Macaca fascicularis: one gene and its partners. The main gene of each other region encodes a partner of the protein of the gene in region 3 in a complex. Links are inferred from orthologs where the notes say so. Each region holds a gene or a part of one and is shown on either strand. Other genes may lie near its edges.

The links.
Region 1: POLR3D (region 3) and POLR3F share a complex: the UniProt entries of both Homo sapiens proteins name them as parts of the RNA polymerase III complex. The link is inferred for Macaca fascicularis from reciprocal best matches to the Homo sapiens genes POLR3D and POLR3F.
Region 2: POLR3D (region 3) and POLR3G share a complex: the UniProt entries of both Homo sapiens proteins name them as parts of the RNA polymerase III complex. The link is inferred for Macaca fascicularis from reciprocal best matches to the Homo sapiens genes POLR3D and POLR3G.

What each region holds. Positions count from the first base shown.
Region 1 is NC_088384.1:68,816,327-68,826,387, forward strand, and holds the start of POLR3F (DNA-directed RNA polymerase III subunit RPC6), read right to left. Parts: upstream 4,689-10,061; 5' UTR 4,579-4,688; coding exon 4,517-4,578; intron 3,110-4,516; coding exon 2,992-3,109; intron 1-2,991. Other genes in the region: DZANK1 (double zinc ribbon and ankyrin repeat-containing protein 1), read left to right, coding at 7,087-7,195. UniProt on the Homo sapiens protein: DNA-dependent RNA polymerase catalyzes the transcription of DNA into RNA using the four ribonucleoside triphosphates as substrates.
Region 2 is NC_088380.1:94,472,685-94,482,623, forward strand, and holds the start of POLR3G (DNA-directed RNA polymerase III subunit RPC7), read left to right. Parts: upstream 1-4,645; 5' UTR 4,646-4,773; intron 4,774-5,121; coding exon of another isoform or gene 5,122-5,575; exon of another isoform or gene 5,576-5,671; intron 5,672-5,778; exon of another isoform or gene 5,779-6,302; intron 6,303-6,794; exon of another isoform or gene 6,795-6,844; intron 6,845-8,704; exon of another isoform or gene 8,705-8,777; intron 8,778-9,939. Other genes in the region: acyl-coenzyme A thioesterase MBLAC2, read right to left, coding at 5,122-5,575. UniProt on the Homo sapiens protein: DNA-dependent RNA polymerase catalyzes the transcription of DNA into RNA using the four ribonucleoside triphosphates as substrates.
Region 3 is NC_088382.1:25,312,070-25,322,199, reverse strand, and holds the start of POLR3D (DNA-directed RNA polymerase III subunit RPC4), read right to left. Parts: upstream 4,841-10,130; 5' UTR 4,756-4,840; exon of another isoform or gene 4,719-4,755; intron 4,493-4,718; 5' UTR 4,488-4,492; coding exon 4,323-4,487; intron 2,724-4,322; coding exon 2,680-2,723; intron 2,095-2,679; coding exon 1,943-2,094; intron 1,799-1,942; coding exon 1,674-1,798; intron 1,470-1,673; coding exon 1,301-1,469; intron 906-1,300; coding exon 643-905; intron 1-642. UniProt on the Homo sapiens protein: DNA-dependent RNA polymerase catalyzes the transcription of DNA into RNA using the four ribonucleoside triphosphates as substrates.

The DNA of each region.
Region 1 (10,061 bases), on a different chromosome or scaffold from region 3:
CATTCCCTTGTTTTATTTATTTATTTATTTAGAGACAGAGTCTCACTCTGTCATCCAGGCTGGTGTGCCGTGGCACGATCTTGGCTCACTGCAACCTCTGCCTCCTGGGTTCATGCGATTCTCGTGCCTCAGCCACCCAAGTAGGTAGGATTACAGGTGTATGCCACCATGCCAGGCTGATTTTTGTCTTTTAGTAGAGACAGGGTTATGCCATGTTGGCCAGGCTGGTCTCGAACTCCTGGCCTCAAGTGATCTGCCTGCCTCAGCCTCCCAAAGTGCTGGGATTACTGGCATGAGCCACTGTGCCCGGCCCATTCCCTTGTTTTAAAACAGACATGACTTGGAAATGGATTTACATACTGAATGAACGGTGACCTACTCCCTCTGTTCCCTGACCCCATGAAGTGGCAAAGTAGGACTACAAGGCCCAATCCAGAGGCTCTATTTGGTCATTTATCCAGCTTATGAATATTTACTGAATACTTGTACTGTGCCAGGTGTTATGATAGGTGTTTGGGGGAACAACATGAATTCTAAAAGAGAAACACACAGCTGACTTCAGTACCCATCTGGTTGGCATTAAGATAGAGGTAAGTAAAGCCACCCTGAACTCTCAGGTTGGGTACTGGGAGAACAGGCTGTGGCCCAACCTGGGGGTAGGGGGCAGTTCAGTGACTTCCTAGAGACAATGGCAGAGCCGAGTCTTAAAGAATAAAGAGTTAGTCATCTGTAAAGAGTAAGAAGAACCTTCTAAGCAGGGGGAACAACATGAGTCCCGAGGCGTGAAACAGCATGATGTGGCAGGAAACCAAAAACAGTCTGTTCCTCCTGAAACCTAACTTTTGAGGTACAGTGGTGGAGATGAGGCTGGTGAGCAATGCAGGGACTCAGTGTGGTAAACCCAGGAGTTTGAACTTGAATCTCCAGTATAAACAAATTGTAGGCGGTAGAGTGCCTTGGTCAGACCTGCATTTAAGACGGATCGGGGGCAAGGGGCAGTGGCTCACGACTGTTATCCCAAATCAGGCTGGCTTCTCTGAGACCGATGGAGTCATGGAAGCCAGTTAAGATGCTACTGCAGCTGTCGAGGTAAAAGCCATGAGCCTGAACATAGTTCGGTACCAGGGACAGAAATGGAGGGGGTGTGAAGAGCAAATTTAAGAACTGTTTTTAAGAGCTAAAATCAGAAACACTACATGATTTATTAATTATCACTTCATTTCTTAATATCCTTTGATAGCTCTACTACTGCCTACATACAACCTATAGCCAATAGGACTCGCAGTGGGTGGGTGGTGGCAGAGGTGGTAAAACAGAGGTGCTGAAGATGATTTTCAGTCAGAAGGAAAGAGCTGAAAGGGTGATCAGAGGAATAAAGGAATTTTTCCACTGCTACAACCTCCCAGAATCCCTTCCTCTATGCTTCCTAGAGCTGAAGACCTTCGCCACAGTGAAATAACTAGAAATCAGCAACATTCCTTTGTCCTTGGGCTAGAACAGGGGTCAGCAATCTGCTCCACAGCTTGTTTTTATAACTAAAGTTTTGCTGGAACATGGCTGTAGCCATTTGTTTATGTATCATCATCCATGGCTGCTGCTTGCTAAAATGACAGAGTAGTTGTGAAAGAAATCATATGGCTCACAAAGCCTACAACATATACTCTCTGGCACTTTATAGAAAAAGTTTGCGAACTCCTGAGCTAGAAAATTGATGGGAAAGGTTTAAGAAAAGATTCCTCTGACCCCAAATCTCCACATCCAGAGCACTTGGAGATCCAATAAGGCTAGTGGACTTAAAAAACAAATCAGTCATTCAGATGACGCCTTGGCGTAGAACTCTTTAACCTAACTGCTACTAAAGCCAAACTGAAATGCTCTCAGGAAAAGTATGTTTTAATGATGAGGGAAAGTAAGGAGACATTTAGAGCATCCGGCACCACTAGGGGATTTTTAGACAGTCTTGCTTGTTTGTTTGTTTCTGGACAGTTAGAGAATAGCTTCAATGATATATTTCATTGCGATATCACCGGGGCCTAAGGCTGCACTTCCTCCCCAAGGCCCAGCATTCTTCATTCAACTGGACTCATTCTTGCTCCTGAAATGCTCAGTGACAATGTGGAGAATGAAACCCTGATGACTGGGCTCTGTGACAACTCATAGAAAAATCGGGGGTTGGAAGGGGGTGGTATATTTTATAGGAAATGGTCCAACACCAGTAGTAGGAAGTGAACAGAAGGTGAGAACAGACTAGACCTATGTACGGCAGTGGCAATTAATAATACAACAGTTATAACATAATACATTTATTTCATTTGTCTTATAATGCATAATTGTTTCTTTTTTCAATTCAGGCAGTTTGAGGTATTTCCTGGTTTAGAGTCTTATCAGTCAAACCTAACATACTTTCTCGTTTTATGACTGCTGTATTAGGGTTCTCCAGAGAAACAGAACCAATAGGATACATCTCTCTCTTGAAAGATTCCTCAGAAGGTATTTGCTCTGTGATTATGGAGGCTGAGGAGTCCCATAATCTGCCCTCTGCTAGCTGGAGACCCAGGAAAGTTAGTGTTGGAGATCAAAGGGCTGAGAGCAGAGAGCTCAGGGTGTAGATGCCAGTCCAAGTCTGAAGGTCTGAGAACCAGGAGTGCTGAGGGCACAAGATCCATAGCCCAGATCAAGATTGAATTCACTCTTTGAATTCAAAGAGTGAATTCAATCTTCTTCTGCCACTTTGTTCTATTTAGGCCCTGAATGGATTGGATGATGCTCACCCACACTGGACCCACATCTACTTTACTGGGTTCACCAATTCAAAATGCTAACCTCTTCCAGAAACACCCTCACAGACACTCCAATAAAATGTTTAACTAGATATCTAGGAATCCTGTATCTTAGTCAAGTTGACATGAAATTAACCATCACAACTACATAATAAAAACCAATGATAATCAGCGTATCAGTAATTATGCAAAATAGTTAGATTCACCTTACCATAGACAACAACCTATTGATGGCTACTGCCCGCTGCTGGGCCTCTATATGAGGCATTTCATTCTGAATTACTTGGTCTGTGATTCCATGAGGGAACTGGTGACATAATTCTATAATCCTAGAAACAAGGGTATTAATGTTATCCTTCATGGTTACCTGTTTCAAGAGACAGTAGGGGTAAAAACACAAGTAAAATAGTTTGAAATTGTGCCTTTTTCACATTTGGAAGACAATCTGGGTTTCTGCGATGGTTTTGGATCAAAGCATTTTAGACACTGAAGAAGATGATTTCTAAATACATGATTACAGTATTATTGTTATTTAAGAAGAATATTTCTTTTCCTCACTAATAACTTTAAATTAGAGCAAAAGTCTAATGAAATCACAGAAATAATATTAAAGCTGAGACTTCAATTTTCTCAGGTGTAATAAGTATGACAAAGTTAAGCCATAAATCTGCAAGCAGGAGGCAAATGCAGACGTTTCTGGTGGGAAGCCAAAATTTATGATAATTCACCAAAATGGGGCCTGTTTTGGGAATTATATCTACCAAACAAAGTAGGTCAAAATCTTCACCTAGTCAACATCAACAAATTATTATTCCTAACAGTTTGAGAAAGTTACGTCTTTTAAAAGTACGTGATAATCTAAGAGTGGCAGTGCCTCGGTAAAAAATATAAAAGGCGGTGGTGGCTCACGCCTGTAATCCCAGCACTTTGGAAGGCCAAGGCGGGCGGATCACGAGGTCAGGAGATCGAGACCATCCTGGACAACATGGTGAAACACCGTCTCTACTAAACTACAAAAAATTAGCTGGGCGTGGTGGTGCGCGCCTGTAGTCCCAGCTACTCGGGAGGCTGAGGCAGGGGAATCGCTTGAACCCAGGAGGCGGACGTTGCAGGGAGGCGGAGCTTACAGTGAGCCGAGATCCTGCCACTGCACTCCAGCCTGGAAACAGAGCGAGACTCCGTCTCAAAAACAAACAAACAAATAAACAAATAAAAATAAAACTGGCAGAGGCTTTGGGTATCCTAAAAGTCTTGAGTTCAATACTGCACTGAAACTACCTGACTTAATGTTGCTTCCTAATCACCAACTGCGCCCTAACTCCGCCTAAACGTTTTGACATAGACGTTCCCTTCGTGACAAGAGCGATCCTGGATCAGAACAAGCATTCACAAGTGTTCTAAAGGGAAGGAAAGCTGAGGGTCTCCTCTCAAAGCAATGATCACGTCAAAGTAGGAAGGCAGCGCATCATCACAACTTCCCCAAAAGTATCAGGGCAAAGCGAGTCAGCTACACAAAGTTGCAAGCTGTCAAGCCCATTTTGAACTTCTTGAGTTCTGCTCTCCCAGGATGGGAGGTTAGAAGTGGATCCAGAACCTCGCAATCGTTTTCCCGCGTGCTCACCCAACCCGATCCGGCCACTCCCGAGGGATCCGGGTGAAGGGGTCCGGCTGCCCAAATGCTGGCCGCCTGATGGAGTCCCAAGCCGGAGTCTCACTGGTTTCCCTGTTTGGTTTACCTGTTTTCTATTTCGACCGGATCCGCGTCGGGCGGCTGCACCTTCACCTTCACCTCCGCCATGAGGGAGCAGTTCCTGACGCCTGGGGAAAAGATGCACGGAGCGGCCGGGTAGCAAGCGGGAGAACCCTGGGAACCAGTGAAGGATAGCGCTTAGCGGAGAACGAGGGGCTTTTTTCCTCGTGTCGCAGCGGTCCTTCCTTGCTTTTCGGCGGGAGGTGGCCAAGTCGCGCCTGCTCCGGTCCACTTACAGGCGCCGCTACAGCTTCTTATCCTTGTTTTTCAGAATGTCAATGCCCATCGGACGCACAAGCTTGGTTCCTTCATTCTGAGTTGGGAAGCCAACTTTTAGCACTTTGCAACTCTGTAAAGGAATATTCTTAGATGCCTATGGGAAAGCCCAGGGAAAGGAGCTCAAGGCGGGTTCCAGGCTCCCGGCGAGGCGGCAGGGGCGGGGCTAGTTGCTAAGAAGCTGCCTTGCCGCCAATCATCTGCCCAGCTCCAAGTGGGCGGGGCACGGCTCGCAGCGTCTGTGGTAACCCGAGCGGCGGCGAAGGAGGAGGCAAGAGGCGGTGAGAGGCCGGCGACTGGGTTGGGAACTGCAGAGATGGATTAGGGGTCCCGATCACGGGTCCCCCGGTTAGAGGAAGAGGAGGGCGGCTAGAGGAGGGGAAGAGCTTTCCTTACTCCAGCCGAAAGGATGCAGGTGTCCTTGGCAGCCCCTGACGGGCGGGGACAACCAAACGGGGTTCCGGATCCGGGTTGCGAGGGGACGGTCCACTTTGGGAGAGTTGAGGGGTCTGGGGATCCTGTGGATTGCTGCACGTTGCCATTTGGGCCTGGCGGATCCGCCTTTTTCTTGATTCCCTTTGCGTGGGGCCCACTGGCCACCCCAGCTTCGTAAGGGCAGCTGCTAGTTGATGCTCGCGAATTACCTCCTCTCCTACATATTTTTTATTTAGAAATAATTTTTCAACTATTTTTATTTTATCTGCCTTTCACTTGAATGGAAATGCGACTATAGGCAAGTCTCAAGTTCAGCTACACTCCTGTAGGAGCTATTGCTGTGCTGTCAGTATCTGCAGTTTATATTCTTGGCCCTCGATCTGGAACTATCCAACGAGGCATTAAGTTCACCCCTTAAATTAGTTACCCCACTTTTGAAAATACAGTCTGTGACAAAGCTCAAACTGCAGAGATGTCAGATCAGCATTATTAGAACTGCAGCAGGCGGCCGGGCACGGTGGCTCACGCCTGTAATCCCAGCACTTTGGGAAGCCGAGGCGGGCGGATCACGAGGTAAGGAAATCGAGACCATCCTGGCTAGCACGGTGAAACCCCGTCTATACTAAAAATACAAAAAAAAAAAAACAAAAAAAAAACCAAAAACAAACAAAAAAAAAATTAGCCGGGCGTGGTGGCGGGCGCCTGTAGTCCCAGCTACTCGGGAGGCTGAGGCAGGAGAATGGCGTGAACCCGGGAGGCGGAGCTTGCAGTGAGTCGAGATCGCGCCCCTGCACTCCAGCCTGGACGACAGAGAGAGACTCTGTCTCAAAAAAAAAAAAAAAAAAAAAAAAGGACAGCAACAGGCAAAACTAAAAAGAAACTAGAAATAGCCTAAAAGGCCAGCCCCAAATGGATAAATAAGTACATGGAAAACGAAATAATACAGTGAGAATGCAAGAAGTAGACTAGAAAAATGGAATGAATATGTAGATTATAATTGAGCAAAATCTGTGGATTCTTAATGAAATTTGAAAAGACAATACAGAGGTGTAAATGGTTGCTGTGTTAAGGAGAGCGTTTTTTCTCCCTGAAACCTTCTGTGCATTAAAAATTATGACGGCCTTCCTCCCCACCCTCACCTCCAAAAAGACTAGTAAGGCTTTCATACTGGTAGTTAATTATTAATACCAGGATTTATAAATACAGTAGATGGAATGGGAGGCTTGTGTTTATTGGTCACTGTTTATATTCTTGCAAATGTCCTTTTCACTAACAACTAATACTCTGCAGTCCTTCTAAAGTGTCTTTGCAGCTTTCAAATACTAGAACTGCTCTGGTGACAGTGGCAAGGCTGTGAACTTGGAGCTTTCCCAAAAAAGTTAGCTCTGACTAACGTTTTGTGGTACACACAGAGTTACTTTGGTTCCCCTTGTATGACGACTTGCCCTGAAGCCAAGAGAGGTGACACACACCAAAGGTAGGAAAAGGCGAGAATGATTTAGAGGGAACTGAAGTAAAAGCATTAGTGATAGTCTCTGTTTTCCTTACTCATTTAATTTACCCTTTTAAAGTAACTTCTTTCCCCCGTCTCGTGATTCATGCTCCTTTCTCGGAAGTGAGGTATTTAGATAATCGAAACCCCACACAAGACTTCAACAGCAAATACAGCCAAAATGTAAATATTATTTCAATTAAAAAGGGAATATTTGTAGTGCCATGTTAACAGTATTCTCTTGTGTTTTAACTAGTTTTGCTGCATTTAAATTAAGTGCTTCTCTTCAACTTTCGTGTACAGCTACAAGTGCACAGTGGAATTTATTTTTTTTCTATATATAAGGAGAGAAAATGACTGCTGGTTCAGTGTGTGTCCCTCAGATCATACCACTACGAGTGCCTCAGCCTGGAAAAGCTAACCATGAAATTGATAACAATACACTTTTGGAAATGAAATCAGGTAAGAATCACATATGTGTGAAATTGTTTAAAATAACATTGTCATATTTCTTGTGTTTATCTGGTTGCTGGTTTATCTCATTGCATGCTTTCTCACTCTTTGCTCAGCTCTTTGGGAAATTTGTAAAACTTCTAAAATTTGAAACAGTGCTGTACATTGATGGTTTATAGAGTGGTATACATTTAGATTAAAATGGTTAGCGTTGACCAACCTTTCATTTGTATAGTTTCAGCAATGTCTTGACTTACCTTAGCCAAAGTAAGATGTCCTGGTACTGGCCAGGGACAGAGTGGTTCATGCCTGTAATCCCAGCACTTTGGCAGGCCGAGGCAGGCGGATCACCTGAGGTCAGGAGTTCAAGACTAGCCTGGCCAACATGGCAAAACTCTGTCTCACTAAAAATACAATTATTAGCCAGGTATGGTGGTAGGCACCTGTAATCCCAGCAACTCAGGAGGCCGTGGCAGAAGAATCACTTGAACCTGGGCGGTGGAACTTGCAGTGAGCCAAGATCACACCAGTGCACTCCAGCCTGGGCAACAGAGCAAGACGAGACTCCGTCTCAAAAAAAAAAAAAAAAAAAAAAAACACCACGAAAAATTGCCCGGTGCTTCCCCAAACTTTTCCAACATGCTCAGTATTTAGCTGGCATAATAAATTTGACCTGCTAATACAGGCTTTCCAGTCAGACAGGTTGGAGACTTAATCCCTGCCTTGACAACTTCTAGTGACCTTGGGTACATTACTTAGTCTTTTCGAGTCTCAGTTTCCTCACTGTAAGACAGGGGTATTAATATCTACTTCTTAGAGCCATTGTGAGGATAAATAGGTTCGTGTATGTATGAGGTGCACAGGGTTTGGCATGTAGTAATGCCAAAATAAATCTCAACTGTAATTATGGAAATAAAGCAGTGAGGGCCGGGTGAGGTGGCTCATGCCTGTAATCCCAGCACTTTGGGAGGCCAAGGCGAGTGGATCACCTGAGGTCAGGAGCTCGAGACCAGCCTGACCAAAATGCTGAAACCCTGTCTCTACTAAAAATACAAAATTAGCCGGGCATGGTGGCCAATGCCTGTAATCCCAGCTACTCGGGAGGCTGAGGCAGGAAAATCGCTTGAACCCAGGAGGCGGAGGTTGCAGTGAGCCGAGATTGCGCCACTATACTCCAGCCTGGGTGACACAGTAAGACTCCATCTGAAAGAAGAAAGAAAGAGAGAAAGAAAGAAAGAAGTGAATGTATATCCTGCCAACATTTATTCTTCAAATTCTTAAATATGTGTGTATATGTACACATATACATATATACACATATACATATATAATTATGATAAGGAAGGAAAGTTTTATAGGTAAAACATATGAACAAATATTTGTGTAAAAAAGACTTTGAAATTACAATTTTTGTCTTTTAACCAATTATGTATTTTACTAACTGAAATATATAGAAACTATCTGCAGGCCGGGCACGGTGGCTCACGCCTGTAATCCCAGCACTTTGGGAGGCCGAGACGGGCGGATCACGAGGTCAGGAGATCGAGACCATCCTGGCTAACACGGTGAAACCCCGTCTCTACTAAAAAATACAAAAAACTAGCCGGGCGAGGTGGCGGGCGCCTGTAGTCCCAGCTACTCAGGAGGCTGAGGCAGGAGAATGGCGTGAACCCGGCAGGCGGAGCTTGCAGTGAGCTGAGATCCGGCCACCGCACTCCAGCCTGGGTGACAGAGCGAGACTCCGTTTCAAAAAAAAAAAAAGAAAAAAAAAAAAAAAACAAAACTATCTGCATTTATGGTATGGCCCCTATGCTGCTTAGACCAAGAGTTCTAAGAATATGTATTATTTTCTGTGTTCTCCTTTAGCTTAAAAGCTGATACAATTTTTTAAACTGTCAAACAAAATTAAACATTTTAATATATGTGCCCATAATTCTTAGGAGAAGTTGGGTGATTATTGACAAAAGATGATATGAATGATAGGGTATCAAAATTCCCTGATAGGTAAATATCAAATAAATAGTTTTCACAATTCAGTAACAAAAAGAACAATAACCCAAAAGAAAAATGGGCAAATGACATGAAAAGACCTTGTTTTGTTTTTTCTTTTACAACTTTTATTTTAGAACTGGGGGTACATGTGCAGGTTTCCTACCTGGGTATATTGTGTGGTGCTGAGGTTTGGGCCCATGACCCAGGCAGTGAGCATCGTTGTAGGTTTTCAGCCCTCCCCACCCTCTAGTAGTCCCCAATGTCTATTGTTACCATCTTTTTTTTTTTTTTTTGAAACGGACTCTCGCTCTGTTGCCCAGGCTGGAGTGCAGTGGCGCGATCTCGGCTCACTGCAAGCTCCGCCTCCCGGGTTCACGCCATTCTCCTGCCTCAGCCTCCCAAGTAGCTGGGACTACAGGCCCCCGCCACCACGCCCGGCTAATTTTTTGTATTTTTAGTAGAGACGGGGTTTCACTGTGTTAGCCAGGATGGTCTCGATCTCCTGATCTCCTGATCCGCCTGCCTCGGCCTCCCAAAGTGCTGGGATTACAGGCATGAGCCACCACGCCCAGCCTATTGTTACCATCTTTATGTCCATTTGTACCTGGTGTTTAGCTCCCATTTATAAGTGAGAACACATGGTATTTTGTTTTCTGTTCCTGTGTTAATTCACTTAGGATTATGACCTCCAACGGTATCCATGTTTCTGCAAACGACATGATTTCATTCTTTTTTATCACTGCATAGCATTCCATGGTGTGTATGTACCACATTTTCTTTCTCCATTTCACCATTCGTGGGCACCTAGGTTGGTTTCATGTCTTTGCTATTGTGAATAGTGCTGTGATGAACATATGCGTGCATGTGTCCTTTTGGTAGAACA
Region 2 (9,939 bases), on a different chromosome or scaffold from region 3:
AACTTGATTAATAGTGGGATATCGAATTCTAGATTGGAAATCATTTTCATTCAAATTGGAAGGCAAGATTTCTTCTTTGCTAGCTCCAAAACCATTCTATTCTGAGTACATAACTCTTTTGTTTACATTTCTTAAAGCTTGTAAAATCTTTGATCTCAGTGTTCTGAAATTTTACAGTAACATGCTTAGGTTTGGATGTGTTTTCATCTATTGTCCTGTGAATTCTGTGGGCCCTTTCAATCTGGAAAATTTATATCCTTTAATTGTGTGATATATTACTGGATTACCTCTACCTCTACTATTTTTTTTTTTCTTTTTCTTTGAGACAGAATCTAGCTCTGTTGCCCAGGCTGGAGTGCAATGGCACGATCTCGGCTCACTGCAACCTCTCCCTCCAGGGTTCAGGGGATTCTCCTGTCTCAGCCTCCCGAGTAGCTGGGATTAGAGGCATGCACTATCACACCCAGCTGATTTTTGTATTTTTAGTAGAGACGGGGTTTCACCATCTTGGCCAGGCTGGTCTTGAACTCCCGACCTCAGATGATCCGCCCTCCTCGGCCTTTCAAATTGTTGGGATTACAGGCATGAGTCACTGCACTCGGCTGCCCTACTATTTCTTTTCTTTCACTGTCTCTGTCCTCTCTCTGCATCCATTATTCTAAGGCTGGATTTTCCAAACTGATCCTCCTACTTATTTTAGTCTTTTTCTCTCCTGGTTTCTATTTTCCTTTATTGCTCTTTAGTAAGTTTTTCAACTTTATCTTCCAGACCTACTGCTGCGTAATTTCTGATGTTTTAAATTCCGAGAGCTTTTTTTTTGGGTGAATATTGTTCTACTATTTATTTTTAAAGCATCCTTATTGACTCTTAGGTATCTTGAATGCAATAGCTTGTCTTATCCCCTGATGATATTGATGATAGTTCCCCCACTCTCGAATTGCTTTATGCTGTTTAATAGTTGATATCATATTAGAGAATTTTCTCAGATTTTTTTTTATAATGCTTGGTTGCCTATTTAAGAGTTCGGGGGCATGAGTAAAAATGGCTATTGTCAAAAAGACAGAAAATAACAGATGCTGACAAGGATGTGGAGAAAGGGGAATGCTTGTACATTGGTTAGTGGGGATGTAAATTAGTACAGCAACTATTGAAAATAGTATGAAGGTTCCTCAACAAACTGAAAATAGAACTACCGTATGACCCAGCAATCCCACTGCTGGGTATATACATCCAAAAGAAAGGAAATCAGAATACTAAAGAGATAACTGCATTCCCATGTTTATTGCAGCAATATTTACAATAGCCAAGATGTGGAATCAACCTAACTGTCCATCAGCAGATGAATGGATAAAGACAGTGTGGGACAATATACACAGTGGAGTTATTCACTCATAAAAAATAATGAAATTCTGTCACTTGCAGCAACACGGATGGAACTGGAGGGCATTACCGTAAGTGAAATAAGTCAGGCACAAAATGACAAATACCTCATGTTCACACTCATATGTGGGAGGTAGTGCTAGTATGGTGGTTACCAGAGGCTGGAAAGGGTGGGGGAAGGGAATGAAGAGATTGGTTAATGGGTACAAAAATACAATTAGATAAAATAAATAAGTTCCAGCGTTTGATAGACTAGAATTAATAAGGATTTATTGTATGTTTAAAAATAGCTAGAAGATTTGGAATGTTTCTGACACAAAGAAATCATAAACGTTTGAAGGGTGGTGGATATTCTAAATAACCTGATTTGATCATTACATTGTATGCATTTATCAAAATATCACACGTACCTCACAAGTAATTACAACTATTAGGTATCAATTTAAAAAAAGAAGGGGGGACAAGAAGGCTGCTTGCAGCACATGCATGGGGCCTGGTGACTGAGGCTTCACAGTAGAGAAAGAGGCCAGGATTTCTTAGGTATTCCTCTACATTGGTATCTTCGTCTTTCCTCTAGGAGGCAGATTCCCTAGATAACATTTTTCTAATTTCCTACCTGGGTGGGGAAAGGCCTGGCTCTCATCCTTCTGGGAAACTAGTAGGACGGACACACACACACACAAACACACTCTTTCTTTCTCCTGTTTTCCATACTGAGCCCTTAAGCTCAATAGTAATTTGGCATCCTTCAATCAAGAAACTCCTTTGTTTTACTATCCCTAGAGAATAAACTAATTGGATGGGAGCGGGAGGGGCATTCACTAGAGTTTTAAGAGCTTCTTAAAAGGTTTTCAGGAAATTCTACTTACTCTTCTTCCCTTTGCCGCCACTGAGGTACTGCCTATTGCTAATTCCTGTGTTTTTTAAGGCTTCTGCGGTGGAAACTGAATTGGCTCTTAATTTCCCTTTGCTGGCATAGTATAAAACTGTTAACTTAGTCACCACATCTACTTTCTAGCATCCGAAACAGTTCCCCCAGCCAATGGGGATTTACATTTAAATCACGGTTTCTTTACAGTACATTAATGGTGCTTCGGAAGAGAGCCAAATTAGATGTGTCTGTTCAATTCACCACCTTCCTACAACCTGTTTTAGCCTCTGCAAATGACTTAAGTCCGCCTGAAATCACGCCTCTGAGATATCTTGGTGACACTGGGCATATGGTTTAAACATGTATGTAATAGGGATCACAATGCCAGAACTTTGTATCACTTTAGTGAAAAATGGGCAAAATGATGTTTGCCCACTCAAGAGGTATGTGCTATGTCAATTTAGGGTCTACTGCTATCTTAGAGGAAGATAACCATTTCACTATTAATAAGGCGAGTTGCTTTTTCATCCAGATAATGCACTGGATTATATGGCTATTCTCTCCTTGTCCCTCATTTACAAGTTGGCTTTTGGGTTAGAGATACAGTGCACAGATTTTTGCTTCTCCATGACAAGCAATCATCAATTCATTAAAGGAAATGTAATAAATGATTTCAGCTCCTTGCATTCTACCAAAGCAATGAATACTTTATGCTGTTCATGTGTGTAACTGTATACAAATTTTTAATACAAATATTTTATGTATCCTCCCAGGCATCTGGATTATGTTAACAGCAAGTTAGCAGGCCACATCATTCAGAAGATATGGGAAATTAATATTCTTGAGAAGAGAGGAAAGTAGACACTGCTTGAGAGGGTGGGGCATCCAGCTCCTCATGAAAAACAACTTTTGATAACACAGTACTATCACCTTCAAAGTGTCTGGTAAACATTAAGCTTTCTTTTCACCCTTTTAAAGGCTTAAAGTACCACACAAGTAGTTTGCAGGCCCCTTTCAGCTCCCAAAATGTTAGGATTCTACCATCAACTGGTAAACCTGGGTTCTAGTCCCAGCTCTTTCCGAGATGGGTGATGTGACCTCTTGCATGATACTCAGGCCTACATGGGTTCTTTCTTCATCTATAAAACAATCCCTATCATTCTTTCACCTTTGATTTCCCATTGCTGATACAGAATCAAAAGTCAATTTCAAAAGTAATTTATTCTTTTCAATAATTTAAGTATATTTTAATACTAATGTAAACATTTTTGGTCCGGGTGTCAGAATTTAGTCTGAATACCCATCAACTGCATGGAAATCTTACCCCTAAAAGTACCCATTTTTGTCAAGAAATACAGTAATTAGGTGTGACTTTAATGTAAATTAAAATTTAATGTACATGTACTTTCATCTCATATTGTCAGATAATGTAAGACTCCCATCTAAACCAGTTTTTTTTTTTTTTTTAATTTTAGATTTAAAACTTTAATGAAGACTTTTGTTGGGTGGGGTTGAGGTACAGAATCTTGCAATTTTTTTTTTTTTAGCACCGATAAGTAATACAATATAATACTGCAATTTTTAAAATATCTCAAATGAGTAAGATGTCATCTGTGAGATAAACTGATTTTTGTAAAATATTTCATTATTTGCCATATTGTTTGGTCATAAAGTGAGCTTCACTATACTGCAGCAACTGGCTTTTTCTACTATATAGAGGCATGTTTTAATAAACCAAATTGGTAATTAAAATAGTCTCACACTAAAGGAAAGAAGGGGCCTTTCACATTCTACTCAGAATTATCATCATATATTTATGAGGTAGGATTTATGTACGTTCTGCATGCCTTGATCTATTGTGCCTAGATTCATATCCTAGCTTTTATCATGATCTGTCTCAGGCAAGCCATTTAACTGGGAGGTCAGTGGCCTCACTTTAAATGTGTTGTGAGGATAAAATGAAATCAAAAGTATACTAAAAAGAAAATAGAAAACTAATATACCAAATATTGCTGATGTGGCAAATTAGCTCAATTATTTAAGTCCTTGCGTAGGGAAATGGGCTGAGGCCCTAATCTATTTATTTTCATCCCATGGATTTCTCTCTGAATTCCATATTTGTCTTTCACAGAGCCAAAGAGGACCATGGCTACCTATGCATTAGTCCACATAATTTACCTCTACCGAAAATTACTTCCTTATTGATCTTTCTCAGGCTTTGCTTTCAGCCGGACCAGATACCTGTCATAAAGTTATTCTACGTTTATGATTACTATTAAGCTTTTGCAATCGTGAGTCAACATCAAGAACAGAAACCTATCTGAGAGGTTTCCAATCGCATTAGCGGATTGGAATCGCTGCTCTGATGACTTTCTAAGGCTACAGGTGGGAACTGCCCATACCCGGTGGTGACCAAGCTGATGAAGTCTGCAGTTCTCAAAAGCACAGATCATGACATGCACTCCCCGTGGGGCGTCATTCCTTAAAAGTCTACTCACTACGAAAGCTCCTGGAAATGTCGGGTAGGTGCTTAGGGAAAGAATAAGAAATCCCTAGTCAGTCACAAGTCTCTGTAGTGTTACTACTACAGCCGACTCAGGAAACTGGCTAGGGAGGGGTAGTGCCGGCTTTCAAAGAAGTACTCAGAATTGCTATACGGTGCCAGAGCTGGCCTCTGGCAGGGAAGGCTGTGATGGCTTTGGCTCTGGTCAAGTAGGTTTTTACTTAGGGAAGGGTGTAACAGAAGTGGTTCCGCGAGGTGCCAAAATAATCCCCTTTATGGCCACGCAAGTCTGCAACATGCGGCACTCGGACAGTCTCTTCCCAATACCCTCCCTTAACGAGAGCGCGCGCCCGCGGGGGCCCATTACCATCCTGCAGGATGAGGGTGGGCTGCACCGCCTGTACCCGGAACTGTCTGGCCCTCCAGCCGGGGCTGGGCGCCCGCACCACCTCGCTATCGGAGAGCCAGGTCACGGTCTCAAAGTTGTCCCCGCGAGCCAGCGCCTCGGCCTCGGCGTGGTGCACGGCCACCCGGTCGAACTGGTAGAGGCCGCCGGAGTGGTCGAAGTGCACGTGGGTGGCCACGGCAAGCAGCGGCCGGCGCGCCGCGTCCTCTTTGGCCCCGCGGTCCTGCAAGAGGCCGGAAGAGTACAGGTACTCAGGGAGGCTGCGCAGCCCCAGGCCTGTATCGATCACCACGTCCTGCTCGGAGCCGCGCACCAGCCAGATGTTGGCACGGTTGCCCGACTCGTAGAAGCGTTCTTGAATCCAGAAAATACCATCGCCTAGAGACTTGTGGGCGTACCACTCGAGCGCCGACATGCTGGGCAGGGATGCAGCCAGGCGGGGTGAGTGTGGGCGTGCGAGTCTCCCACAGGCTGTGTAAACACCGGGCGCTGCGGCTGTGTGGAGCCGTCTGCCTGCAGCCAGGGAGGAGGCGTTGAGTGAGGCGGGGGCGGGGGATGCGGGAGTCAGAATAGGAGGAGGAAGGACGCAGACCGACGCTGCCAGTAGCGTGCGCTCTCGTACCCTCCCGCCAGGTCGGCAGCAAGCAGAGACTGCGCCACCAGCACGGGGGCGCAGGAGCTACAGCAGCCTCGGCAGGCGCACCACGAGGGAGCTGTAACGCAGGGACCACTGCAGCAGAATGGAGACTCAGGTGGTGACCCTTTCGCCACCCCGGGCGTGTGACAGCAGAGGCCCGGAGCAAGGGTGGGAAGCGCTAGGACCGCCCACCCACTGGCTCCCCACAGCGCGCACTCCTAGCTGGCGCGGAAAGTGTGGGGCCTAGCAGGTTGTACGGAGCCTACGGAGCCTGCCAAGGGCAAAAAAGCTCTTTGCCGAGGGGGTGGGGCCTGCCTAGGGAGTGGGCGGGGCTAGTTGGTAGGGCTCACGCCGCGGTCCTGGGGCCGCGTGGAGGGCGGTGCGAGTTTCTCCTGAGGTGGAACGAACGGCACTCGAGCGCCGGTGTTCTCTGCCAGCACCCCTTACTTGCCGGCCGGCGCTTCGGCTGCAGAGTTTTGCCCAAGCTTCGAGACTTAGGGAACAGGTAACCGAGGAAGCAATCGAAGACTTGGGAGGGGTGGTGAGGGTAGAGGGGAGTTAAAGGGGCATGTGGAGAAGTTGTGGGGGAAGTCGGGGGTAGAGATTCATTAAAGCGCCTCTGGGTTGAGGGGTGTTTGGAGATAGCTTGGTACCTCCCCTCCTTGTCCTGCTCCCTTCAGAATTTTTTTAAGTCGAATTTCCAGATCTTACCCAGTCTCCACTCCTGGGACTGTTTGCAGTGAGTTAGAAGGGTATTTATGCTCTTACTGATAGTAGGTTATTTTCCAAATCCAGTGACTTTATGATTTGTTGAGGCACTAGTCATTGCCGCAGATTGCAGCTAAGGACCGACTGTTCAGTATCTGTTTTCGTAACTGTTGGCATTTTATATCGTAGGGAAGGAAGTTGTTAATATGGTTTGTCTTTTCTTCTAAAAAATAAAATTCTGTATCCACCCTCTTTTTTTTTTTTTTTTGATTTGGTCTGTCCTTGGAAGAGAGAAACGCGAGTTGGTAGAAAGGCTCAAATAGAGAAAAGGAGCACCTGGTAAGGACGGGAAAAGTGAATAATGACTGGGTGTGGCCCCGCCAGCCTCTTAAATCATCCGCTCTGTTAACATCAGGTCACTGTCTCCACTCCCCACTTCCCAGCTATTGAAGCATCTATTTAGGTTTTTTTTTTGTTTTTTGTTTTTTTGAGACAGAGTCTCTATTGCCCAGGCTGGAGTGCAGTGGCGCAATCTCGTCTCACTGCAACCTCCGCCTCCTGGGTTCAAGCGATTCTCCTGCCTCAGCCTCCCAAGGAGCTGAGATTACAGGCGCCCGCCACCGCACCCGGCTAATTTTGTATTTTTAGTAGAAATGGGGTTTCACTATGTTGACCAGGCTGGTCTTGAACTCCTGACCTCAAGTGATCCGCCTGCCTCGGCCTCCCAAAGTGCTGGGATTACAGGCGTGAGCCACTGTACCCGGCCAGAAACATCTATTTAGGCTTAAGAAATTCCCTTGAGAACTTGACTAACCTCCCAACTTAGCCAGGAAAAATGATAAGGAGACTCATGAGACAGCATTACAAAAGAATTATGAAAACCGTTACTGTGACAACTACTAATAAGCCTTCATGGAAGGAGAGGTATACGCTCTTTTGCTACCCTCCTGAAGTCTTTGGTGGGCATGCAGCTTTTCTAAATACTTTGCTAATCTTGGTAGAGATTATTCGGTTACTCAGTTGGGGGCTATCCTTATGCACAAGTCGCTGAGCTAGATAATTCATGAGAGAATTGTGTAAAAAGGTCATAATCTGGATTCTCAGGAGTTTGAAGGAAGATAATGTCTGTACACAATTACTTGGAAGATAAAGCATTACAGGGTATGTACCACAGAGACAGTAAAAACTAGATTCAATAAGAATACAGATGGAAGGGATTCTTGAGGAGTGGCTTTTGAGCTGGCCTTAAAAGACTACTTTTAGGGCATTCTCAGCAGAGTAATATAGGGCCCTCAGTAGTCTGGGTACTTTTTCTCTAGGCAGAAGTGAGCCACTAGTGGTGAAATGGAGTGATATCTCTACCAGGCCATGAGCTCAGCAATAATTTGCACAATAATCATTGGCCTTTTGCCGGGCTTTGGTTAGTAATGGGGACATAAAAAGGAGAATAAGTTTCCAAGGAGACTTTCACACTTCCAGGTCCCTCTGCCTGCATCCCACATCTCACTGGATATCCTTTTTTAATTCTTTGCATGGCTCTTTGCTTTACTTTTGTCAGGCTTATGCTCAGATATCACTGAATAAGAGAAGACTTCTTCAGCCACCTTTTCCACAATAGCATCCATGTTTCCTGTCTTTATTTTTCTTCTTGTCACTTCCTGACTTTCCTATAAAATATATTTTGTCAGTTTCTTACCTCAGACTCTGAGCTTCATGAGAGGAGAGATTTTGTTTTGCTCACTACTGTATTCCCAATTCATAGAAGACAGCCTGATGATGAGGGTGCTTAATAAATACTTGATTGGATTGAAGAGCCTCCCTGGGAGACAGATAAGAGCTGACAGTTACAACATGATTGTAAAAAGGGCTTAAAAGCAGAGTAGTACTTGGGAAACAGAGAAGGGAGAGGCCTATCTCCATGTAGGGTGGAAGAAATTGTCATGGAGAAAGTGTTATTTGCATGGCATCTGAAAAGAACCTGGGGCTTAGGTGGATGTGGCAGGAAGGGCACTCCAGGCATGCACTGGTTGATTTGGCCACAGCGTGGGGTGCATGTAGTGAGAGGCAGAAAGACTCCAAAGCTCTTTTAAGGAGAGTCACATGTCAAGATTTGTATTCCAGAAAGATACCCTAGACTGCAGAGTGGATTGAAAGGGAGAGTCTGGCCACAGGAAGTTTATTTGTTCTGTTTTAGAGGTCCAGGTGAAAGATGAGAGGGTCTGAACTGAAGCAGAGGTGGAAGAAACGGAACATGGGAGAGAGAACAGAGCTGGTAAACCTCTACTTTTAGATGGGGGATTGGAAGTAGACAGGTCAGGATACCTATCCTGATTGTAGCAATTTAGGGGTCATTCATCAGGAATAATACTGTGACTTAACTTTCACTGCCTCCTCTAGCTTCTGTGTCTGCTTCTATCTGTTTGTGCATTTATTGATGGAGCTGATGTTGTTACTGGTGGAGGGTGTCCAGGTTCTTGGCATCTTGAACAAAGAATTGGACAAAATGCACAAAGCAAAGAAAGAATGAAGCAACGAAAGCAGATATTTGTTGAAAATGAAAGTACACTCCAGTGAAGGAGTGGGTGGAGCATATGGGCTCAAGGGTCCCCTTACAGAATTTGTGGGGGTTTAAATACCCTCTAGGGTTTCCATTTAGTTACTTGGTGTACACCATGTAAACGAAGAGGATGAAGTAAAGTTACAAAGTCATTTACTTGGCATATGCCCTATGAAGAGGGTATTTCCTGTCATAGCTGAAGTGTGAATCAGCCTTTTTGTTCCCTGCCTCCAGACCCTGTTTTCCTGCCTCAGTGTATACAAGGAACTGTGTAAAACGTGGAGGACAAGACATTTCGGTTACATCATAACTCATAAAATGTTAGAACTAGGAGGAATTTCAGAGATTAGCTCAGCATCTGCTAGGGGTTGTTTTTGTAGTTGATTAAAATTGACTTTTTTATTTCATCTCTTGGATGCTTAAACTATACCCATTTTTAAGCCTCTCAGAACAATTCTGAATAGGAATTTTCAGGAGACATCCTGAAATGGAAGGGGCAATGCTACTGATTTTACATTTTTAATTGAGTCTGTTTTGCAGTTATTAATTCACTTCATTGAATAAAGACCTCCCTGGGATTAAAAAAGTCTTCTAACCAGCCTAGACTATGCTTCCTGAAGTGTAATGCAAATGAAAGAATAGTGGAAAGGTTTTCTGAGGCCTTAAAGCTGTCCTGCTTTTGTTAGGAATTAGCTTTGCATCCTTAGGTAATCAAGTAACCGCTTAGGGTGTCACTTTCCTTTTCTGTAAAATGGGAGGTTTAATCTGCAGTGGTTCTTTTTTTTTTTGAGACAGAGTCTTGCTCTGTCACCCAGGCTGGAGTGCAGTGGTGTGATCTGGGCTCACTGCAAGCTCCACCTCCCGGGTTCACGCCGTT
Region 3 (10,130 bases):
ATCTCCTGGGCTCAAGTGATCCTCCCGTCTTGCCCTTCCAAAGTGCTAGGATTAGAGGCATGAGCCACCGCACCTGGCCATATGTTCTCTCATTTGTTTTTTTTTTTTTTTTTTTTTTTGAGACGGAGTCTCGCTCTGTCACCCAGGCTGGAGTACTGTGGCCGGATCTCAGCTCACTGCAAGCTCCGCCTCCCGGGTTCCCGCCATTCTCCTGCCTCAGCCTCCCGAGTAGCTGGGACTACAGGCACCCACCACCTCACCCGGCTAGTTTTTTGTTTTTTTTTAGTAGAGACGGGGTTTCACCGTGTTAGCCAGGATGGTCTCAATCTCCTGACCTCGTGATCCGCCCGTCCCAGCCTCCCAAAGTGCTGGGATTACAGGCTTGAGCCACCGCGCCCGGCCTGTTCTCTCATTTGTATGTCTTTGAAATATTTCCTTATAAGAAGTGAACACACATCCCTGCAACACACACACACAATTGGGGTTGGAGGTACAAAGACCCATGGCTCTTGCAGGCATCAAGAAAAACCACCCATTATTGTCCCATTTCAGCCAGGGTGGCACGGCTTTGCTTCCCACTACAGGTCACCACTTCCCCTCTTAGTCCCCGACTCTATCCCACAGGCCTCTGCCTGAGCATACCCGGTCTTTCTCCTGCTTGATGAGCATCATCTGTCCATCCTCACCCTGCACCTCTGTCTTGATGGGCTTGATGTCCTGGGTGGGCGGCTGGCCAGGGAGGGTGTCTGGCAGCTGCAGAAACAGCAGTTCCTCCTCCTTGGTGAGGCTCAGCTCCCTGAGCAGCTCTGCCACGGATACATCCTTTGGGAGGCCTGGGGTCTTCCTGGCTGCTTTGGGGGGAGCCTTCATCTTGGCCTCTTCCTCATCTCGTGGCTCCTCTTTCACTGCCCGGGTGATAGAAATGGAATGCTATCACATGACCACCCTCCATACTAGCTCACTGTTACCAGCCCTTTGCCCCCGTCTGCTCCACTGTCACTCAGCCAGGGAGTGGGAAGGGGGCACTGGTTATAGAGAGGGGCAAGAGACAACATGTTTAAATCTCGCCTGACTTATCTAAAAAGCGACATCTGAGGCTGGGCCCACCGCTCCATGCCAACACAGGAACCCTCTGCGAGGGAGAATCGGGCATCTTTGTTCAGCTCATGTATCTTACAGCCGGGATGGGAGGACCTGCTCATGAGCAGCAGTCAGGGACACATGCAAAGGATGCCTGATGCACAGGATTCCTGGGGAGCAGCCATGGAATTGGAGATGAGAAGTTAACTGACAAGAGTACCTTTCACAGCAGGTACGTCCACCTCCATGTCTTCTTCCTTGGGGCCAGTCAGCCAAGGTTTAACATCTGGTTCGTCATTTTCTTCCTTAAAAAGCCACCCCGAGTGAGCCAGCGGCAGCTGCACAGGCATATTTCGAGTGTCGTTCCTCAGCCCGGGGTCATCGAGGAACTGCCAAAAAGAGTCTGGGTCATCCAGCCTGCTAGCACATGCACCTGGATCAAAGTCTGCTTTAGTCCCTTTCTAACCAAAGATTCCTGCTGCTCCCCAGGATTCCAGGACATCAGTGAGCTCTTCTGCCCCTCACCTGGCTCCCCAGAAGCCCTGTTCTACAGCCACAAGGAAGCCCCTTCCCCACAGCCTCCTGGTACCCACATCGTCCTTCTCCAGCATGCGCAAGATCTGTTTAGTTTCTTCGTCTGTCTCTCTCTTCTCTTTTTTGATGTTGATGATATGAGAAGGTCCCATGTCTGATACATCCACTGTCTTATCCCAGTTCCCTGTGGGAAATCACCCAGGTCACTAGGGATCAATAAGGAAGATGCCAACAGCAAGGAAAACTGAACTGGGAGCGGGGAAATTCCACTGCTCTCGCCCTTCTCTTGGGCAGTCTGAACTGAAATTCACTGATTCCTTCCTTGTACCTTTTTTCTTCATCATTTCGGCTGGGCCCTGCTCAAAGATGGAGTGAGACTGGATCACTTCTGGGCGGCCTCGTCCTCGTCCATGCCCCTCTCGCTGTCGGTCTCTGTCCCTTTCACGCTTCTCCTTCTTGACAGTTACTTCTTCCTTGGGCCTGGAAAAAAGAATGGATTAAGGGAAACCACTCACTCACTGTGTCTCCAAAAACTGGCCTTACTCTCCCATACCACTTCACTCCAAGACAGCGGAGAGTTTGAGCCAATAATTACACCATGAGAAGCAGAATCCAATCCTAATTCTAGCACTTTTCTCACTTCCTTGATGAGGCAGGATTTTTTCAGTTTGCTTTACTTTACGTTCTTGTCCAAAAATGTAGATTTTTGTTTGCATTGGGACTGAAAGCAGGAAGGCAGAAATGCAAAGGAACTTCAGGGAAAGCGTGATACATCTTTGTTTAAACTATTGGCTCTCAACTCGGGCCATCAAAGAGAATCACTCCATTCTACTGCCAACAAGTTAAATCACAATTTCTAGAGATGGAACCCTAGACACCAGTATTTTTTTTTTTTAAAGCTTAAACATTAGAATCACCTAGGAGCCAGGGTTGAAAATCACTAGTGAAAAGAACTAAAGATATAAATTTAAATTTTGGAGCCACAAACCTACTTATTTCTCCCCAAAGCCCCAAATTCAGAGCAAGTAAATAAGGGGCAAGTATTCAGAAGGACTAGCTACTTACTCTTCCTTGATCTTCCGACTGATGATATTTGGGGTGAAGGTTTTCTGAAAGCAAAATACAGGAGTCACTGATGTGTTAGGTCCTGATCCCAAAGTACAGAGGAAAATAAAAACTCCCAACGGGCATCTTCTACAGACCACGGCCACCATGACTCTCTTTGGCACATTCCACAGTGCTGTCAGTTTTCTAGATACACGTGTGCCTGAAAAGGAGGAACGTCATGGTGTGGTGGCAGTGGAGTTATGCATAGAAGAAAGGGGCACCAAAAACCATTTTTAACCAGCAGCCTTAGGAAAGAAGATCCTGAAAGAAGGTCCTCTGGGACTTCTAAAAGCAAAGGAATTTCTCTGGTCTCACCTCTTATCTTCAAACTGCTATAGAGACCAGTCAGTATCATGGGGGAACATCTCTAGCAGCAAGGCCTAAGTAGGGAAGGCCACAGATCTGCCAATACTCTCAATCACTGTTGGCAGTGTTTTTCCATATTTTCCAAGGCAAAGTTAGGTTTCTAAAGACTGCTTTATGTCCAGGCGTGGTGGCTCACGCCTGTAATCGCAGCACTTTGGGAGGCCAAGGCAGGTGGATCATGAGGTCAGGAGTTCAAGATCAGCCTGGCCAAGATGGTGAAACCCCGTCTCTACTAAAAACTACAAAAATTAGCCAGGTGCGGTGGCAGGCCTCTGTAATCCCAGCTACTCGGGAGGCTGAGGGAGGAGAATCGCTTGAACCCCAGGAGGTGGAGGTTGCAGTGAGCTGAGATGGTGCCTCTGTGCTACAGCCTGGGCGACAGAAAGAGACTCTGTTAAAAACAAAACAAACAAACAAAAAAAACTGCTTTATTTGGCCGGGAGCGGTGGCTCACGCCTGTAATCCCAGCACTTTGGGAGGCCGAGGTGGGTGGATCACAAGGTCAGGGGTTCAAGAACAGCCTGGCCAACATGGTGAAACCTTGTGTCTACTAAAAATACAAAAATCAGCTGGACATGGTGGCGGGCACCTGTAATCCCAGCTACTCAGGAGGCTGAGGCAGGAGAATCACTCAAACCCGGGAGGCAGAGGTTGCAGTGAGCCAAGATCATGCCATTACACTCCAGTTTGGGGGACTAGGGCGAGACTTCGTCTCAAAAAAAAAACCCAAAAACCTGCTTTATTCTTCTGTCATCCTGACACCACCCCTTTCTGGGCTACTCTTGACATCCACAGTCATATACACATGGGACAGCCCACAGAGCCTCGAATGCCATGCCTAGGATTCATGATACTCTAGATAACAAGTTTGCACACTGAGATGGTGAATTCTGAACGCTCTAAGACTGTGAAGTTTATGCCTGCCTGGCTTTCATGGGTTTCTTAAAAATGTCCAAACACACAATAAGAGTAAATAAACACTGTTCAAATTACTTTTGAACGACTTTAACTTATTAGGATTCTCTGTCTTTCAACCACCTCTGGGACTCATTTCAACATTTTGTACTCAGTACCTAGATTTGAAGATAGGACAGGCTCCCTAGAATTTAAAGAGGGGTAGGCTTGAGGCCCAACGACACTCCTGACACATAGTAGGCCCTACACAAACATCAGTTGAATGCCGGGGCTTGGAATTCAAGGTAGTTGAGTTTCTTTAGAAACGCGCCGTTGGATACCTTCTTGACTCCCCCGAGGGTGAGGTCCCTGGAACGGATGGAGGGAAGGCGGCCGGGGGTGAGGGGAGGCGCCGGCCGCCGCCCGATGAGCCCCCGGGCCCCAGTCAGGAGGGGTCGGGGCCCTCCCGGAGTGCTGGGCTCGCCGGCGGCGTTTCCTTCCGACATGTTGCCTGGGAGAGAAGGGGGGACGAGATTACCAGAGTGGACTGACACGCGGACCCTGGCGGAACCCAACCCCCTTGCTTTCCGGTCCCCCAGTCGGTGCGTCCCTCCAGTGGCCTCTCAGCTCCTCCCCTCCCACGTGGCGAGATTCCCGGGACCACCCAGGTGAGAGCCTTTGGCTCGCGACACGCCCTCTCTCCAGGAACCCCGCCCAGGAACCAGGCAGGGACGCACCCGGGCCGCGGCTCCACACCGCGCGTCACCACTTCACCTGCGACGCGACCCGCTGCCAGCTTTAGGTCTCCGCACCGGGCGGAAGTCTGCGTGGCACCGCCTGGGCGCTGCCATCTTGGCACGGGCCGGATGTGACGTTTCGGGGGCGGGACTGGGCCACAGTATTTATCAGGCGGCGCTTCGCTCCCCTCCGCCTTCTCTTCCCGGTTCTTCCCGGAGTCGGGAAAAGCTGGGTTGAGAGGGCGAAAAAGGATGAGGGAACCGGTCTGGGCTACGCTATGTGGCGGTGCTCGGGGGTCTTGGCCCCCGGGCGGTGGCGTGGAGGTGCCGAGATCAGGGTCGCGGGTCTTGTCGGCCGCCAAGCCGCAATGTGAGGCTTCGCCTCGGCGGAGCCCCTGGGAGCTTGGGGGTAGCTGCTCGGGATGGGACGAGGGGCGCGGCACAGAGAGCGAGACCTGGACTTAGAGTCGGGGAGTCTTGGGCCGTGCCGAGCCCTGTCTGCGGGTTCTCCATGGTGACCTTGGAGTGGTCACTACCTCCGGGCAGCGACCTCGCCCACTCTCGGGGACCCCTTCCCTGTGCTCCTGGTGGAGTCCTGGGGTGAGGCTGTGAGGGCAGCGTTGGAACAGCCGCAGTGGACCAACTGGTGCCCAGTCACACCCGCTTGGGATCACGAAGGCGGTGGCCCTCGGGTGCGCTCTTGGTCAAAGCCTGGACAGAATCGGAATACCAAGTTTGCTCTACTGCTGGAGGAATTTAAAGAACTTTTATTGACTCCAGCGTTTGTGATATAAAAAGTGTCGTTTAATGTTATCTCCCATCCCCCCAGACCGTATAAAAACATTATTACGGGGAGTTTGAGGAAAGGAAATCGTTTCTACCAGAATGCCACGTAGAGTACTACTATTAAAAATTTTGTAATGTGTCTAGTAGTCTTCACAGAGTTGTATCACAATTTCGTATCCTTTTTCTTTTCTTTTTTTGAGGCGAGGTTTCTGCATACTGCAACCTCTGCCTCCCAGCCTCAAGCCATGCTCCCACCTCAGCCTCCCAAGTAGCTGGGACTCTAAATACATGCCACCACGCCCGGCTAATTTTTTTTTTCTTTTTTCTTTTTCTTTTTCTTTTTTCTTTTTTTTTTTTTTTTGTATTTTTGGTAGAGACGGGATTTCACTGTGTTGCTCACACTGGTCTTGAACTCCTGAGCTCGAGTGATGCCACCCGCCTCGGCCTCCCAATGTGCTGGGGTTACAGGCGTCAGCCACTGCGCCTGGCCTGTATCCTGCTTTTTCAAATAACATTTCTCTGTTACGGCATCAAAGACTGCATAGTTCTCCAGTGGCTGTATCATGATTTAAGTATTTCCCTGATTGTTTCTTTTTTCCCTGTTTTAAATAATGCTGTAGTGAATATCTGGTACATTCGACGTGCTTTTTTTCAATTTTGTTTTGGTTTTTGTTTTCTTTCGGATTATATTCCTGGGATAGATTTCCCGTCCTGGGATAACTGGCCAAAAGAAGGTGGGTTTTTTTTTTGTTTTTTGTTTTTTTTTTTTTTTTTTTTTTTTTTAAAGTAAATATTTGGGATGGGCTTGGTGGCTTACGCTTGTAATCCCAGTGCTTTGGGAGGCGGAGGTGGGAGGATCGCTTGAAAGGCTCAGCAGTTCGAGATTGCAGTGAGCTACGATCCAGCCCCCACACTCCAGCCTGGGTGACACAGCAAGACCCTATCTCTAAAAACATTTTTTAAATTAAACTTTTTATTTTGAGAACATGGTAGATTCATGTAGAGTTATAAGAAACCATGTAGAGAGATCCCAAGTATTGTTTATTCATTTTCCCCCAGTAGTAACATCTTGCCATCAGAATATTGACATTGGTGCAGTCAAGATACAAGAAGTTACCATCACAAGGATTCCTCTAGCTGCCCTTTTATAGCCACACTTCCCTCCCCCCACCTCCTCCCACCACTAATCTGTTTTCCATTTCTGCCATTTTGGTATTTCAAAAGTGTTATATAAATGGAATCGTACAGTATGTGACTTCTTGGGATTGCTTTTTTCACTCGGCATTGTTCCCCGGAGATCATCCAAGTTGTTGCGTGTATCAATAGTTCGTTCCCTTTTATTGCAAAGTATTCATGGTTTGTTTAACCATTCACCCTCTGAAAGACATCTGGGTGGTTTTCCGTGTGGGGTTATTATGGATAAAGCTGCTGTGAAAATACATGTACAAGATTTTGTGTGAACATAAGTTTTTATTTCTCTGGGATAATTGCCCATGAGTGCAATCATTGGGTCATGTGGTAGTTGTATCTTAGTTTTACAAGAAACTGCCAAGCTGTTTTCCACAGTGGCTGTACCATTTTGTACGTGCACATTTTATGGTTCTTCATTCATATTGCTAAATTGCTTTCAAAAAGGATTGTGCGGCCGGGCCTGGTGGCTCACACCAGTAATCCCAGCACTTTGGAAGGCCAAGGTGGGCAGATCACTTGAGGTCAGGAGTTCCAGACCAGCTGGCCAACATGGCGAAACCCCGTCTCTACTAAAAATACAAAAATTAGCTGGGTGTGATGGTGCATGCCCATAATTCCAGCTACTTGGGAGGCTGAGGCACGAGAATCGCTTGAACCGGGGAGGCGGAGGTTGCAGTGAGCTGAGATCACGCCGTTGCACTCCAACCTGGGCGACAGGGGGACAGTCTGTCTCAAAACACCAAAAACAAACAAACTCCACAAAAAAAAATAAAAAAGATTGTGCTGAAATACATCAACACTAAGAATGTGTGTATATACAATAATCAAATGTATACACATATACACACATTGTGGGCTTTTGATGGAGTCCTGGGTGAGGCTATGTGGGCAGCCTTGGAACAGCCACAATGGGTCAACCGGTGCCTAGTCACACCCATCCTGGGCTCACAGCAGTGGCCCTCATGTGCACTCATTGTCAAAGCCTGGAAGGAATCTGAATACCAAGTTTGCTCTACTGTTGGAATTTAAAGAACTTTTATTGGCTAGGTGTGGTGGCTCATGCCTGTAATGCCAGCACTTTGGGAGGCTGAGGCGGGTGGATCACCTGAGGTCAGGAGTTCGAGACCAGCCTGGCCAACATGGTGAAACCCTGTCTCTACTAAAAGTACAAAAATTAGCCAGGCGTGGTGGCGGGCATCAGTAATCCCAGCTACTTGGGAGGTTGAGGCCGGAGAATCGCTTGAACCCAGGAGAAGGAGATTGCAGTGCGCCAAGATTGCGCCATTGCACTCCAGCCTGGGCGACAAGAGCAAAACTCCATCTGAAAACAAACAAACAAACAGGCTGGGCGCAGTGGCTCACACCTATAATCCCAGCACTTTGGGAGGCCAAGGTGGGCGGATCACAAGGTCAGGAGTTCGAGACTAGCCTGACCAACATGGTGAAAACCCATCTCTACTAAAAATACAAAAATTAGCTGGGCGTGGTGGCATGCGCCTGTAATCCCAGCTACTTGGGAGGCTGAGGCAGGAGAATAGGTTGAATCCGGGAGGCGGATGTTGCAGTGAGCCGAGATCGCGCCACTGCACTCCAGCCTGGGAGACAGAGGAAGACTCCGTTTCAAAAAAAAAAAAGAACTTTTATTGACTTTGAAATTTATTGACTCCGTACACACACACACACACACACACGCACACACAGGTAGTACATAAGAATATATAATTTTAGGGTGTAGTGGCACCCACCTGTAGTGCCAGCTACTTGGGAGGCTGAGGTGAGAGGATCGATTGATCCCAGGAGGTGGAGGCTGCAGTGAGCTCTGATTGTGCTACTGCACTCCAGCCTGGGAGACAGAGGAGACCTTGTCTCAAAAAAACAAACAAAAAAGAGAATATATAATTTTTTGTCCACATCCTTTTGAGTATTGGCTCTTAAAATTTAAAACTTTGTTTGCCAATTTACTAATATTTTGTTATGTTGCTTTCTAAACAGACCTTTTTCAACTTCTTTCTGCATGTTGATTTTACAATAATCAAACCAAACCTATACCCTTTTCCTGTTCCCTACAGAGCTACACGCAACAGCCCTTAGTTTCTAATTAGAGCACTGGGTGAAATAGCTTTGATTTCATTCTGTTGGGCTTTGAAGTTCACCAAGTAGTAGCTTTCCTGGTTTATTTTGTATTTTTAAAAGTACACTCATTCATTTTAGAAAATTTGGAAAAATTTAAAAAGCACTGAGAAGAAAAAGCTATCCATTATTATCCCATCAAATGTTTTATATACTTGAAGTCATTTTTCTATGCATTTAGATTTTTTTTTTTTTTTTTTTTTTTTTTTTTTTGAGATGGAGTCTCGCTGTGTTACCCAGGCTGGAGTGCAGTGGCACGATCTCGGCTCACTGCAAGCTCCTCCTCCCGGGTTTACGCCATTCTCCCACCTCAGCCTCCGAGTAGCTGGGACTACAGGCGCGCACCACCACGCCCGGTTAATTTTTTGTATTTTTAGTAGAGACAGGGTTTCACCATGTTAGCCAGGATGGTCTTGATCTTCTGACCTCGTGATCCGCCCGCCTCGGCCTCCCAAAGTGCTGCGATTACAGGCTTGAGCCACCGAGCCTGGCCGCATTTAGATTTTTTTTAATTGGGATATTTTACACAGGGGTCTTTTAACATTTTTATCTATTTATTTATTTTGAGGCCAGGTTATGAGACTGGCTAGTTTTTGTATTTTTGGTAGAGTCGGGGTTTTGCCATGTTGCCCAGGCTAGTCTTGAACTCCTGGGCTCAATCCATCTGCCCACCTCTACCTCCCAAAGTGTTGGGATTACAGACGTGAGCCACTGTGCCCAGCTGAGCTTAGTTTGTTGTTAATAACGTTTTATTTTCACAAATATCATAATAAAGACAATAATCTCATTGTAATTTAACAAACTCTTAAGAACAAATACAGTCTTCTAGGTCTAAATGCAGGTTTAAAAGGTATAACAGATTCTGTCAAAAATCTGTTCTTGTGAATTTTTTTTTTTTGAGACGGAGTCTTGCTCTGTTGCCCAGGCTCTAGTGCAATGGCATGATCTCGACTCACTTGCAACCTCTGCCTCCCAGGTTCAAGCAATTCTCCTGCCTCAGCCTCCCAAGTAGCTGGGATTACAGGGGCGCGCCACTATGTCCGGCTACTTTTTGTGTTTTTAATAGAGGTGGGGTTTCACAATGTTGACCAGGCTGGTCTCAAACTCCTGACCACAGGTGATCCACCTGCCTCAGCCTCCCAAAGTGCTGGGATTACTGGCATGAGCCACTGCGTCCGGCCTTTTTTTTTTTTTTTTTTTCCCTGAAACATGGTCTTGCCCTGTCGCCCACGCTGGAGTACAGTGGCTACTCACAGCTACAGTCATAGCTCACTGTAGCCTGCAACTCCTGGGCTCAAGGGATCC